2 linked regions of the Macaca mulatta genome follow. The protein of the gene in region 2 purifies or fractionates together with the protein of the main gene of each other region. This does not show direct contact. Links are inferred from orthologs where the notes say so. Each region holds a gene or a part of one and is shown on either strand. Other genes may lie near its edges.

What was found. The genes of interacting proteins can lie anywhere in the genome.
Region 1: the proteins of AKAP9 (region 2) and CDK5RAP2 purify together in Homo sapiens (affinity purification with western blotting; 4 studies listed by BioGRID and IntAct, with this or other methods). This does not show direct contact. The link is inferred for Macaca mulatta from reciprocal best matches to the Homo sapiens genes AKAP9 and CDK5RAP2.

Annotation. Positions count from the first base shown.
Region 1 is NC_133420.1:37,798,725-37,802,372, forward strand, and holds part of CDK5RAP2 (CDK5 regulatory subunit-associated protein 2), read left to right. Parts: intron 1-1,638; coding exon 1,639-1,716; intron 1,717-2,679; coding exon 2,680-2,945; intron 2,946-3,648. UniProt on the Homo sapiens protein: Potential regulator of CDK5 activity via its interaction with CDK5R1. Negative regulator of centriole disengagement (licensing) which maintains centriole engagement and cohesion. Involved in regulation of mitotic spindle orientation.
Region 2 is NC_133408.1:127,434,086-127,438,436, reverse strand, and holds the start of AKAP9 (A-kinase anchor protein 9), read left to right. Parts: upstream 1-1,521; 5' UTR 1,522-1,675; coding exon 1,676-1,723; intron 1,724-4,351. UniProt on the Homo sapiens protein: Scaffolding protein that assembles several protein kinases and phosphatases on the centrosome and Golgi apparatus. Required to maintain the integrity of the Golgi apparatus. Required for microtubule nucleation at the cis-side of the Golgi apparatus.

The sequences.
Region 1 (3,648 bases), on a different chromosome or scaffold from region 2:
CCCTTTTTAAGGCTTTGAGGAGCTTGTGGGGGTGGGCTAGGGGAGATTGAAGCAAGGAGAAGAGTTCTGTGCTTGGGGTGCCCAGGAAGGAGCGTTGGGTAGCTGAAGCGAGGAGGCCATCAAACAGCCTTTGCCTTTGAAATTTGCCGAAAGCAGCCCTCAGCATGTGTGGCAAGAGGCATCCAGGAGAGCATTCAGAATTCACGGTGTTGCCTCAGCAGAAAAGTTTTCTAATTTTCTTGAGTCAAGATCAGAATTGTAGGCAGCAGCATTTCTTCCTTTGCAAAAGACTTCTCAGGTCTGTATTTAAGTGCATCTGTTTTTAAAATTATGTTCTAAAGGCTGATGTCTTTCGCTGAGAGTGATTCCTCTCAGGGCCAGCTCTATGGAGCTGACCTCCTGGCTCCTTGGCCTTAGGAACTGTAGCAGACCCTTGGGTGGTGCTGGAGTGCAGCAGCCCACTGCCCAGTGGTGCAGGAGCTCTGATGGGGGGATCCTAAACCCTGGGCTCGCTTGCTCTCTGCCACTGACGTGCTGGGTTATGCTGGACAGATCACTTTCTATCTCTGCCACTTGGTTTCCCCTTCCATGAAATCTGAATTACAATGTGTTCTGCCCACTGAGCTATTGAGTCCAATAGCTTTTCATATGTGAAAGTGCTTTCCAAATTATTACGTGTTGCACAGATCATCTGTACATCATCTATTGATTTTGCCTCCTTACAGTGTTGCAAATACATCACCCCCCAGATCCTATTGTGGGTTACTCTCATCTCTGGCTTAGATTAGTGTGGCAGCCTCCAGACAGAAAAAAAACTCCTCCAGTACAAAATACAGACCTCAGCTTGACATTGCGTTGCCCAAAGCCCTTGAGTGGGCCCCTCAGTCCTCTTGGTTCTGGCCTTGCATCCTACTTTGTCCTTCCCTGCCCCCTGGGCCTTGGGTCTATGAACTGCTTATTTCTCCCTGAGTGATGATTCCACTCTTCGTCCCACTGTCTGCCTCTCACCTGCCCATTGTGCTGCCTGGCATTTCTTTCCCTCCTTCTTACCACAGGTCAGTCACAGTCAGTCTTAAAATGGTGAAACCCCATCTCTACTAAAAATACAAAAAATAGCCGGGCGTGGTGGCGGGCGCCTGTAGTCCCAGCTACTCGGGAGGCTGAGGCAGGAGAATGGCATGAACCTGGGAGGCGGAGCTTGCAGTGAGCCGAGATTGTGCCACTGCACTCCAGCCTGGGTGACAGAGCAAGACTCCATCAAAAAACAAACAAACAAACAAACAAACAAACAAAACACATAAGGTTTTAAAACAGGTGTTAGCCTTTGGGAAGCCAAGTTGGGGGTAGTGCCCTCACCTGAGCCTCAACAGCCTGTGTTTTCATTAACACTAAAATAAAATTGCTTGTTTACTTTTCTGCTAAGAGTTTTTCTAGGGAACGGATTGGGCCTGGTCACTCTGTCTCCCTGGTGTCCCACACAGGTGGGCCTGGCAGGACAGAGGCCTAGTGAAGATTTGAAGGAATGCTTGTGTGTGTATGAATTAGTGAATGTGAGGGGCTTGACTGTATTCTCATTCAGTTCTCTCTTGAATGCTGACAGCAGTGAAACTAACAGTTCTCGTGTTTTGCATTTTGTAGATGGTGACAAAGATCCCATGGAAAGTGATAATTCATTTGATCTGTTTGATTCCTCCCAGGCAGTGACACCAAAATCAGGTACAAAGCTGAAGTCTGGGTAACGGTGGCAGCATTGGATGTGACAGTAAGACTTTTTAAATTGCAGAAAAGGGGGTCCCTAGTCCCACCTCAGGAGGGTATTTGGCAAGGATTTGGGATTTCAAGTTCTCAGCATCTCCAGCTGGTGATATCCTCCTTCAAGCCAGTTAATCTACTCCTAGGTGTTACCAAGCTTAGAACATCATTGGGTCCCTGTTGCCTTAGATTAAAATTGTGACCATCTTTGTGAGGCTTTCAAGGCCGCCCAGGATCCAGCTCCAGTGGGCCCGTCCAGCCTTATCCCTTACCCTGGTGTAGCCACACAGGGGTCACCATCCTGCAGACAGGCCCACACTTTCCTCTCACTGTGACTTTTAGACCCCCTTTGTCCCACTCTTTGCCAGTAAAAGTCCCATTTCCTCAAGACTCATCATGAATGCACATTTTTCTGTGACATGGCTTTGCTGCTGTCCCTGGTCAGAATGACTCATCATTAGTGTAATTCTTGCTTCTTGCTCAGTCCAGCTCAAATGCTGCTCCTTCTCAGAAGCCTTCCCTGTTCTCTCCCTCCCTGCACAGATAATTGTTTTTCCTGGCTCTGGCCCTTCATCACTCTGCTGTTGCACCTTCCGCAGTGTCTGTGTTCTGATCAGACTGTGGGCTACTGGAATGCAGGCACCAGCTTGAGTTATCCTTGTGAATCTGGGGTCTTCTGCTGAGTGGGTGGTTGAAAAGTGTTGGTTGAGTTGACTTGAGCCTATCCTACAAGATGACTCGTAAGCCAGTGTGGGGTAATAGATAGAGGTCCAGGAGCCATGCGTCTTTTCCCCACTGGGCTTGTGTTGGGTGGCATTTGGGCACGAGGGCCTCTCCTAGCCCTCCTAGCTAGCTTCAACATCATAAGCGCCTTGAACGCAGAGTGTTACCTGAAACAGATTTTACATCCTACCTCTCATTTTACAGTTTCAGAGACTCTTCCACTCTCTGAGAATGACACGGACTCCCTCTCCTGTGACAGTGGCAGCTCGGCAACTAGCACTCCGTGTGTGTCCCGCCTGGTCGCTGGCCACCGCCTGTGGGCCAGCAAGAACGGCCGCCACGTCCTGGGCCTGATTGAGGACTATGAGGCCCTGCTCAAACAGATCGGCCAGGGACAGAGGCTTCTTGCCGAAATGGACATTCAAACCCAAGAGGCTCCCAGCTACACAAGTCAAGAGCTGGGAACAAAGGTAACCTGACCACAGAGCTGGAAGGCACAAGCTGCTCCCTGGGAGTGTCCATGGAAGGGGTAGGGGAGTCAGATGGTGCAGTTGTCCTCAGTAGGACCCTGAGAAGAGGGACTAGGAAGTGTGGCCCCAGAGAGCTCAGAGGTCAGGTCCAGTGTGGGGGACTGTGGGCGGTGGCTGTGTTTGATGGGGTTCATGCCCTGTATTCCTGCAGTTACTTCATGGGCTCTGCTGTCTTGCTCCCATGACGGCCTCTGTACATCTGGTCTCTCATCCATTCTTCTCTCCATCTGCACCCTGGTGTGTCTGTCCACTCATCTGCCCATCCACCTAGCTGTCACCCATTGTGAAGTGGAATTACTAGTTCAAAGGTTGTGAACTTCTTAGGGCTCTTGGTGATAACTGTTGCTGCATTACTTTCCAAAACAATTGTGTCTCTGTTCATGAATGTTTGTCTCACTATATTTTTGTCTTTGTTGAGGTTTTGTTGTTGTTGTTGTTGTGTTTTTTTATTTTGAGACAGGATCTAGCTCTGTCACCCAGGCTGGAGTGCAGTGGTGTGATCATGGCTCACTGTAGCCTCGACCCCACCTCCTAGGCTCAAGCAATACTCCTCCCTCAGCCTCGCAAGTAGCTGTGACCAGGCATGTGCCATCACACCTGGCTATTTTTTTTATTTTTATTTTTTAGAGACAGGGTCTCACTA
Region 2 (4,351 bases):
CACTTGGCTGTTAGAAGTTGGCAGAATGTATGCATTACAGAACTTAAGAAAAAATCTTTTTTAAAGCTAAGATTTCTAAACGAGGGCTATTTAAAACTCATCCTCAGTTTGTAGTCAGACTTTAGGTCTTTAGTCTCTCCTTTTATATACATATTCTTTTAGAGATAATTGTCAGCAATCATGCTTGGACAAAAAATTGTATTACAGGTAACTGTTTTTCCTCTCTTCCTTTCTTTTCTCTTCTCCGCACATAAATATGAAACCTGAGTAATCAACCAGAGACATTGAAATGTGTAGTTCACTCCAGGAATGGATTTGAGCGTTGGAGGGTAGGGAGAAGAATACAAAGGATCGAGGGAGCACATGTAGGGGAAACAAGGAAAGATAGTAATGCTAAATTTATAAACACTGCTCAATTCAATCCAAAAAGCGTTTATTGAGTGCAGAGCTCTGTGCTGGTCATTTTAGTAAAACCAAGATGAGCAAGACTCATGATGATTCTCTGTCATCAAGGACCTGGGAGTATGAGCTGAACTAAGACGCACACAAATTATTAAAATATGGTGCAGGGTACCCTATTTTAATAGGGTACATAAAGGAAGTCCAAGGAGAAATAAAGCTGACATTAAGAACGTTTTAATATGCCAGGGCAGTTACATATATTAACAACCCTTCCAAAAATTCCAGGTAGGCTCAGGGAGAATAGGAAACTTGTCATTAAAGCTAGAAAGTTGGTGTAGTCTGGCATTGTCCCTAACCTAGGTTCTGAAGCTCAAGCTCCTTTCAGAACGCTACTGTTAAAGGGAAGCCCGAAGGAGTCGGGGGAGGGGAGTACGTTTTGACTGGATGTGTCTCGGTTGCCGTGGAGGGAACAGGAGGTCAGAAAAGCCATTTGGAGGCAGCGTGTGCGATAGGACTAGAAGGATGAACCGGAGATTGAGTGGGAACCAGTGGAGGGAAGAGGGAGGGACTTTTCAGGCTAAGGAAGTAACAAGAGCAATTAGCTCCTCTCATAATTCCTTGAGTCGAGGAGTTAACGTAGGTAGAAAAACTGGCGTCCGCCCCCCCACCACCCTCCACCCCTGGAACTTTTCCATTGGAGCTTTTAGGTGTTCGCCAATTTCACCATTAGGTGTGTTATTTTTGTAACTTGAAGGAAAAAACAAAAAACTCATGTTTTAATAGCACTGGATTCCTCGGAGGGTGGGGGTCCGGCCAGGAGCCTCTGGCACATTCCGTCCCTTCTACCCCTCAGCTCGGCCGCCACCTGCGAGCCATTGATGTGCGGGAAGGGCGCTCCCTACGGCGGGATCCTCGCGGGTCGGAGGCCGGTCCCAGGCCTGGCGGGGGTTGACCCCGGAGGGCTGGGCCGGGGCGGGACCCCAGACGCACCTGCCCGCGAGGCGGCTGCGCGGACAGACGTTCCAGCCCCTCCCGCCTCGCCGTGTGTTTACGTGGAGACGAAGATGGCGGCGGCGGCGGCGGTGACGGCGCTTCCCGTGCGGCTGAGGGCGATCAGCCAGTGAGCGCCGAGACTGTTTCCACTTCGGGCGGGGGAGCGCCGGCCTGGCTCGGCTCTCTGGGCAGCGGAGCTTGCTGTCCCACCTCCGTCGAAACCGACCTTTCTCCGACCACCCCTCAACCCCTGTTTTCCCCTGCCTTCCTTGCAGAGGCCATGGAGGACGAGGAGAGACAGAAGAAGCTGGAAGCCGGCAAAGCCAAGGTAGGAGAGCCCGAGGCAACTGGGCCTGCAGTGGGAGGCGATGGCTAGCAATGGGTGGGAGGGGGTCTGGGAAGCTGAGTTCGCTGCAGCCTCAGTGCACTGCCGGAGAGGGAGGTGCTGCAGGGTCTGCATCTCTCCTCGCCCTCCTCCTTTCCCCTTTTTCCAGTTGGGGGACAAAGCCTTGTGCTGCTAGCTAGCTGATAATACTTCCGTGAGGATTGAATGTTGTGCCTTCTTTCTCGTGAATGTCCAAATAAAACTCCCCTTTTACTGTATTGCTGTAAACTAGTGTTTAGTTGCTTCTAAACCTCCGACCTTTCATTTTTTAAGGAGTTTTCTGGGTGGTGCAGGCATTGTGTTTTCCAGGGTGGGGATTTAGGGCTTTTCTTTATTGGGTTGGGGATTTGTGCGCTGATCATCGGCTTGTCTTCCTTAGGTGGCACGCTGGCACTCTTGGGTGTGTGTGATTGGCCTGTGACAGCTGTCTCAGCAGTGGCTTGTGTGTGCCACAAGTGCCAGCTGTGAACTTGGCTTTAGGGGCGTTTTTAGAAGCGTGTCTTTGTATGTTTGTACTTGAAGGTCTTTGTCATGGCATGCGCTTTTGTGTCGTATGGAATGTTATTGCAGTCTGTGAATGGAACTTCTGGGGACCGAAAGGTTCCATATGCCTAGTAACACCTATAGAATTCCTGCTTTAAGTAATTTAGTTGTTATATATCTCTCTGGCGAATCCTGATTATGCGTGTGCGTGTGTGTGTATATGTGTGTGTACGTGTATGGAAAAGCCTGTAAAGCAAACAATACAATACACAATTATACAGAGGCATCGTTCATTGGGCTTCATGAGAAATTTAACATATACAAAATATAAGCTGCGTAGCATATTTCTTTTAAAAATTACATATTTGAGCGTATATTTTGTCTGGGCTCAAAAGCCCCCTTCCTCCCTTCAATGAAGTCTTCTTTTATAGATTATATTCTTTTTAGAGATAATTGTTAGCAGTCATACTTGGACAAAAAATTGTATTACAGGTAACTGTTTTTCCTATCTTCCTTTCTTTTCTCTTCTCCGCACATAAACAAAGGAACCCAGGTTGGTGATTTATTAGCAATGAAGGGCCATACCGCAGAGATGCAGTGATAGAAGCTCAACACAAGTTTGTTAAATGAATATAAATGTAAAAACTAGCTTCATATTTCTAAAATATAGTTGACTTTCCTATAGGATCCCTCTATTTAAGGTCAAGATTTAAATGCTTGTATATAGCCAGGTAAATTTTTACTTTCGGATCTATAAATGGTGGGAAAGGGTAATCAGGGTACCTTTAGAAGCCCAAGCGCTTACACTTGTGCAGTCTGAGGGGCTGAGCAAGCTCTGTGCATCTAAGGAAGTAGTGGAGATGAAGTGTGTGCCCCCTCCAAAAGCACTGAAGATCTAATTAGATATCTTATTTGTCTGTTACCTCAGAATTTTTATTGCCTGCCCCCAGAAATATCTTTCCTAAATATATGTGAAGCAGTCCTACAAAACATGGTTTACTTTGGACATACACATTTCATAATAGAGGATTTATTTAAATTGCTTGCAGTTGTAGTTGATTTGGCAAAATACAATTCTAGTTTCTTTGTGTGTTTCTTTGTCTTTCAAAATTCTGCGTATGGGGTAAAAACCAACATGTTTAAGATGAATTTTTGTTGTAAAAGATTACCTTCTTTTAGAATTTAGTCCTTTTTCCAGTAAGATAGAAATCTATGAGACTTGTAAGGCAAGGTATGTTTGCTGCAACATTAACTATACAATGTAAAAATGCTGACATTGGGAGCCTGGGGCGAGAGGATCGCTTGACCCCAGGAGTTCAAGACCAACCTGGGCAACATAGACTCCACAAAAAATTAAAAAAAAAAAAAATAGCTGGGCATGGTGGTGTGCGCCTGTATGTATTCCCAGCTACTCGGAAGTCTAAGGTGGGAGGATCACTTGAGCCCAGGAGTTCGAGGCTGCAGGGAGCCATCATCATGCCGCTGCACTTCAGCCTGGGCAACAGAATGAGATCCTGTTTCAAAAAACAAACAAACAAACAAACAAAAAAACCCTGGAAATAACTTTTAAAGACAACATGAAGAGAATCATTTTCTAAGTTATATAAACATGATGGAATATTTTAAAGCCATTAAGATTATGAAGATTGCTAGGAATATGAAAAATAGTGTGGAAAGGGCATTATCAAAAATAACGTATACATTATTTCATTTGTATAAACGTGTGCTTTCAGATTAGAACTGAAAAACTCTGGATTATAATGTCATTCAGCAAACCTATATTGAACCCCCATTTTATACCTAGAGGTGGTGACAGTGTCTGCTCTCAAGTTGCTCACTGTTTAGTGGGAGAGACAGACTCTGGGTGATAAGTACAAAGAGGGATGAGCTGCAGTGGGATTTGGGGGATATTTTTCCAGATTTTGTTAAAGTGTTTTAAATGCTACGATCTCATTTTATAGAATTACTAATAAGGCTCTTACTATTGATATTAATGCACCGTAATATAATGCCTTTCAAATAGTAGTTATATGTATTTGCTTAATGAATGAGCAGAATGATTACTGAGTCATTAATAAGTGTTACTTT